2 linked regions of the Oryctolagus cuniculus genome follow. The protein of the gene in region 1 purifies or fractionates together with the protein of each later gene. This does not show direct contact. Links are inferred from orthologs where the notes say so. Each region holds a gene or a part of one and is shown on either strand. Other genes may lie near its edges.

The links. The genes of interacting proteins can lie anywhere in the genome.
Region 2: the proteins of MTMR4 (region 1) and DNAJC10 purify together in Homo sapiens (affinity purification with mass spectrometry; 3 studies listed by BioGRID and IntAct, counting the BioPlex papers as one, with this or other methods). This does not show direct contact. The link is inferred for Oryctolagus cuniculus from reciprocal best matches to the Homo sapiens genes MTMR4 and DNAJC10.

What each region holds. Positions count from the first base shown.
Region 1 is NC_091448.1:33,878,578-33,881,560, reverse strand, and holds part of MTMR4 (phosphatidylinositol-3,5-bisphosphate 3-phosphatase MTMR4), read left to right. Parts: intron 1-2,318; coding exon 2,319-2,429; intron 2,430-2,653; coding exon 2,654-2,742; intron 2,743-2,961; coding exon 2,962-2,983. UniProt on the Homo sapiens protein: Lipid phosphatase that specifically dephosphorylates the D-3 position of phosphatidylinositol 3-phosphate and phosphatidylinositol 3,5-bisphosphate, generating phosphatidylinositol and phosphatidylinositol 5-phosphate.
Region 2 is NC_091434.1:57,900,421-57,904,075, forward strand, and holds part of DNAJC10 (dnaJ homolog subfamily C member 10), read right to left. Parts: intron 660-3,655; coding exon 532-659; intron 250-531; coding exon 133-249; intron 1-132. UniProt on the Homo sapiens protein: Endoplasmic reticulum disulfide reductase involved both in the correct folding of proteins and degradation of misfolded proteins.

The DNA.
Region 1 (2,983 bases):
AAGTATTCACCAGCTGCCCTCCCTCCCTCCCTTCGTTGATGCTGTCAGCCAGTGTTGCAACCACTCAGCATTCATTCATTAGGAACCTGCCATGTGCCACTGGGTTAGGTGCTTGGGCTATAGGATGCAAGATAAGTAAATGATTGGAAGGATATTCCTAGGTGGTAGGATTGAAGGGGGTATCAGGTATTGGGGGACTGGAATAGAATGAAAGGTCAAGGAAGGGTTTTTCCATGGAGATAATGCTGGAGTTGAGTGCTGAAAAAGTTTGTGAGGTAGACAGTGAAAAGGAAGCATGAAGATAATAGGTACCCTGAAAAAAAAGGGTGGTGTAAATGTGTATTGGCGTGCATAGACACTTGTGCTGGGACTATGAAGGAGAGTTGGGTAGTGTGGTAGGGGGTGACATCAGAGAAGTTGAAGGGGTTTGGAAAGGTCAGCTTGAATGCCCCTCTTGTTTAGATTTTATACTCAAGGCAATACAATTTTATACCAGTGAGTACCATCAGATTTATTTATATGTATAAATTAATTTGAAGGGCAGAGTGACACACATAGAGAGTTAGAAACAGAGAGAGGGGTCTTCCATCTTTTGGTTTACTTCCCACATGGCTGCAATGGCTGGGGTTGGGCCAGGCTGAAACCAGAAGCCAGGAACCACACGGGTGGCAGGAACTCAAGTAGTTGAACTGTTACCTGCTGCTTCCCAGGCACATTAGCAGAAGAAGAAGCAGTCAGGACTTGAACTAGTGCTCATATATGGGATGTGGGCATCACAAGGGGTAGCTTAACCCTTTGTTCCACAATACCAGCCCCAAATTTGTATTTTAAGGAGACTATAGGGGCTGGTACTGTGGTATAGCAGGTAAAGCCACTGCCTAGGTCTCTGGTATTCCATACGGGTGCTGGTTCAAGTCACAGCTGCTCCACTTCCGATCCAGCTCCCTGCTATTGCGCCTGGGAAAGCAGCAGAAGATGGCCCAAATAACCTCATGGGAGACCCAAAAGAAGTTCCTGGCTCCTGACTTTGGATTGTCCCAGATCTGGCCATTGCCACCATATGGGAAGTAAACCAGCAGATGGAAGATCTCTTTCTGTCTCCCTTTCTCCCTCTCATTCTGTAACTCTACCTCTCAAATAAATAAATCTTAAAGTAACAAAAACAAAAACTAGCAGTGTAGAAAATGGATGAGGCAGTTGAGAACCAGGTTGGAGGCTGGTTAGGACATTTTGGAATAAACAAAGTAAGAGATGATGAGGGGCATCTAGACTGCGCTGTGTTGGGTAGCCTCAAGTTCTGGCATCGCAGTCCTGGGGGAGCTTCTTGGAGCCATTTCCTCCCCATACTATCCTGCTGTTTACATAGCAAGAATGCCAGTTTGTCTTCTGTTAAGGCATTCTCACTTGCCTGTTGTCCACTTCTCTGCTGATGGAATGGAAAGGGCTAATAACTTCTTATATTTCAGGCAATGCATTGGCAAAGGTACAGATAATGAATAGTGTAGGTCTTAAAGGCCATACAGTGCCTCAGCTACTGTTACAGTGCAGAAGCAGCCATATATGATATGTAAATGAACGCTACTATGTTCCAGCAAAACTTGAGGTTAGGGGCTAGATTTGGCCTATGGGCCATAGTTGGCCAGCTCCTGGTTTAGAACTTAACAAAAGGGGCCAGCAAGGTGATGTAGTGGGTAAAGCTGCTGCTTGTGACACTGTCATCCTATAGGGGTGCTGGTTTGAGACCTGGCTGCTCCACTCCTAATCCAGCTCCCTGCTAACGCACCTGGGAAAGCAGTGGAAGATGGCCTAAGTGCTTGGGCCCCTGCATCCACGTGGGAGACCTGGATGAAGCACCTGGCTCCTGGCTTCAGCCTGGCCCAGCCCTGGCTGTTGCGGCCACTTGGGAAGTGAACAAACCAGTGGATGGAAGATCTTCTGCTCCCTGCCCCAGCTCCATAACACTGCCTTTCAAATAAATAATAAATAAATCTTAAAAGAAAAAAAAAACAAAACAACAAGAGAGACTTTCTACACTGTAGTATAGCTTTTTTTTTTTTTTGTAGTATAGCATATTAAGAACATGGAGCTGAAGCCAGAATATTAACTTCAAAGCCCACCTTTACTACTTAATAGCTCTTAGCTTTCTCTGCAGCTGGGTTTCTTTATTTATAACATGGGGACAATAGTAATATACATGCTGAGGCTATGGTGAGGTGTTATATCAGTTCATGCATGTAATGCCCTTAGAACAATATCTGACACGTCGTAAATGGTATTAGCAGTGATGAGGTTGATGGTGACGTCTGCCTTCTCTCTAGACGTGTTTGAAGGAGTCAGATGGTAGTGATACCGAAGATTTTGGCTCTGATCACAGTGAAGACTGCCTTTCAGAAGCAAGCTGGGAACCTGTTGATAAGAAAGAGACCGAGGTACTTCCAGGCAAATATGTGATGGGTACTTATGTGAGCTCAGAGATGAGTGACAGGCTGTAGACTGAGCTCTCCCCTAGATGAGTGTCATCTTTATAGGCAAGTAGAGGCCAGTTTGCAAAATCAGTCTTGTCATTTTTCCCCTGAGATGTTTTCCTTGTTGCGGTGTTGTGCTTCTACCTTGTTGACATGGACCTGGCATTTTTCCTTGTGCCTTCTATTAGGTGACTCGCTGGGTTCCAGATCATATGGCATCCCACTGCTATAACTGTGACTGTGAGTTCTGGTTGGCCAAACGAAGACACCACTGCAGGTGAGATATTTTTATGATTTAGTAAGATTCATAAAGCAGTGCTGTAGGTATGTACAGAACTGAAGTGCATTGACCTGAAAATAGAGACCTCTTCATGTGAGCTATCTTGTTTGCTCCCAACCCTTTTCTCCATTTAGTCATGGAAAGCTTTTGAGAGCCTCAGTCGTTCTTAGGAGACTGGCATTTCTGATGATCTCTTCCCTCTTTGTGCTTTGGCAGAAATTGTGGGAATGTATTTTGT
Region 2 (3,655 bases), on another chromosome or scaffold:
ATGATATTTTGTTGGAATTACTCTAAATGGAAGAGATACATCTGAACAAACATTACCTTTTCAACATCAAATGGCTAATAGGCCTCTATTTCACAAAACAAATCTAATTAAAGTTTTTATACTTTGTCTTACCATGTTACAGAGTCCCTCATGAATTGTACAATCTAGTGTACCAAACTTGAGCTGACCATAAAGAAGAGTTGATGCTTTTCTTAACTCTGGCAGTAAAGCTCGACATGGTGGACACCACTAGAAAAGAAAAGTATTTATAAGCACTGAGCCAAATGAAACAAAAACCCGTAATTTTTCAAACAAACAAACAAAGACAAATGATACATCACGACAACTCTATGGGTATATTATTAATCCTTGGAGAAAGGTAATTACTACTTACTCTCACTTAGAAGCAATATGCAATAGTGGTCAAAACCCATTGACACCTTTCTAATACTAAAGACACTTATCAAGAAAATGTCTTTTTGACATGGCAACAGAAAATCTGACAATACTGATTAAAAAAAAAAAACTTACAGGGGCAAAAAAATCAACAAGCCATGGTTCTTTGTCATTGGCAGGAAAATTCTGAGGTCCAAGTGTAGTAACATGAGAATTAACACTTTCTTTGGCAAACGCAAGTATATCATATAGAATCTTCTTTCCTTTGAAATCAAAAGAAAAATTAAAACCACATTCTGCATTTTATACTCACAGAAACATTTCAAAGATATGAACTAAGTGATCTTGGGGTAGTTTCAGTGTCTGTACTTTATGTCTTTGCACTCTGTTTTTTAGGACTAGTAAAAATGTCAATGCCTCTTTTAAACATTTCCTCATCCCCAGAGGTAGAATAAACAATTCTTTACCATGTTCGATTCCTTATAGATATACCTGGGTATCATATCAATATTTCAAACACAGTATATTCATATTAAAACTGAGTTATTCCCCCCACGGAACTTGCTCCTTTTTTTTACCTTCCCCAGTTTGTTTGGCAATAAGATAATTATTCACTCAGTTCCTAAATAAAAGTCCCCAGAGAGCTCTTACTTTTTTTTTTGACCTTGTATCGCATCTCCATCCATTCTGTCTCTTAAGGTCCAACCTCATGCTACTGCATGAATTCAATCTGGCCTACTGCAATAACTAAGCTGGTGTTTCTGTCCCTAGCCTTCCTTAAGTACTCCATTTTCTACATGGTTAGCACAATCAACTTACAGAAACATTAATCTCATACTGTTTCCTTGTGTAAACACCTTTGATCATTTCCCACTGCTGTTTTGACAAATGGTATCTTATTCAGAGTCTAGTTCATTCTGCCAAGTGCCCTTTAACTTAGTCACTCAATAGTCAAAGTCAAGTCCCTACTATGTGCTAGATTTTGTTTAAAGACATACTTCCTCTCTTAGAGAGCGAATGGTCCAAAAGAAGAGACATTTTCACAAAAACATATAGACAGATAAATGACATCACATTATTTTTTCTAACACTTTAGCTGCTATTTCTTGACTGGCTTCACAAATTTCTTAATCTCTGACCATCCCTTATTCTGATTAGACAATTTTCATACTCAGTTTTCATTATCACTCAGGGTAATTATTTATAGCCCACATTCCTCTCCTGGGTCCAGGTCCCTGTTCAACTGTGAAGTGGGTTTGTCTACTCTATACTCACCCCTTACCCAGTGTTCTCTTCCTCACTGAATGGTACAATTATTTAACTGCTGATTCACCAAGTCAGAAACATGGGTGTTATCAGGGTTTTTCTCTTTAGCAATATCTAAGTTATAATGATTTTATATTTATAAAACATCTCTCTTCTTAATCATTTTAATTAACATTTCATTAAAGCAACCATCTTCTTCTCTAATATACATTATTGAATCCATCTTGTGCCTCTCTTCTTCCAATTCTGCTCCCATTCATTCTAGGCAGCTGCTCACCTTTCTAAAATGTAAAAAGAAGATGGGCAGGTGTTGTGGAACAGTGGGTAAGTCATTGTTTGGGATATCTACCTCCCATATTCTGGAAAAGTTGTGTCCTGAATACTCTGCTTCTGATGCAGTCTCCTATTAATGCATCCTGGAAGGTAGCAATTGATGGTTCAAGTACTTGGGCCCCTGCCACTCACATGGGAGACAACAATGGAGTCCAGGGCTTCTAGCTTTGGCCTGGCCCAGTCCTAGCTATTGCAGGCATTTGGAGAATGAACCAGCACATGGAAAATTTCTTTCTCTGTTGCTCTGCCTTTCAAGTAGATACAAATAAACAAACAACCAGTGAGATAACACCTCTGCTTTGCTTTTAGGAAACGTCCAAAGCCTTTACCTGACAAATTAAATACATAATTTGGACCTCTGATGCCCTCTCCAGCCTCAACATATTATTAATTCTGAAGTTATTATCAAAGAGCAGGGGTCTGCGCTGTGGCGCAGTGGGTAAAGCCGTGGCCTGCAGTGACAGCATCCCGTATGGGTGCCGGTTCGAGTCCTGACTGCTCCGCTTCCAATCCAGCTTTCTGCTATGCAGAAGATGGCCTAAGTCCTTGGGCCCCTGCAACCACGTGGGGGACCCGAAGGAAGCTCCTGGCTCTGGATCAACACAGCTGCAGCTGTTGCAGCCAACTGGGGACTGAACCAGCAGATGAATGACCTCTCTCCCTGCCTCTCCTCCTCTCTCTCTGTAACTCTGCCTTTCAAATAAATAAATAAATCTTAAAAAAACAAAAAATCAAAAAGACTCTCAGTACAGAGCCTCTGAATACATCTGTGCTTCAATGTATTTGCCACCTTTTCATTTGGGCAATCACCACTTCAAATCTCAACAGAGTTGCTCTATGTACTTGCTATAATCCCAGAATATCGTTCCTCCTAAGAGCAAACAAAGCTCATCTCTACGGTAATCCATTTCTAAGACAGTGACATCTCCTTGAATATTCATACCACTAGATTGTACCAGGGTTGGTTAAGCCAACTAATGGAACACGGGGATGTGATGGTTTGTCTTAAGAACAGCTTATAAAAGATATTGTTGCTTCTATCTATTTTTTTTTCTTCTTTCTCTTCAAATATTTGTTCTGGGAGAAGCCAGCAACCATACTGTGAACAATGCCATTTAGAGGCCCATGTGGTGAGGAACTGAGGCCTCTGCCAACAGCCAGCGAAGAACTCCGAACTTATACCAAGCCAAGAGTCAGCATGAAACCAGATCCTGTAACCATAGTCTAGGCTTTGGATGATCACAGACCTCATTTTGACCATAACCTCATGTGAAAACCTGAGTTCAAAACCATCCTGCTAAGCAGTTCTGACTACTGGCCAACAAAAACTAATGAGAATTAATAAAGTTTTTTAAGCTGCTGAATTTTGGGGGTAATTACAACCTGGCAAGGTAACTAATATTCTCCACATCAGACATTTGCAAAATTTGTCAATTTACTTGTGTGCTTTCTCTCCTGATCCATACTATTCTTTAGGGTAGAGATGGAGTAGACTGAACATTTTTTCCTATTCTCTATTACTGTACTTTGTACACACAGAGGCTCAATACCTAGTTAAATCCAAAGAAACAACACATGTAATAAAGTTGGTAATGGCATATTAAAGGAAGTGCTTAGGGATTTGCATTTAATTTTCCAGGGGAGAATATACATTAGGTTT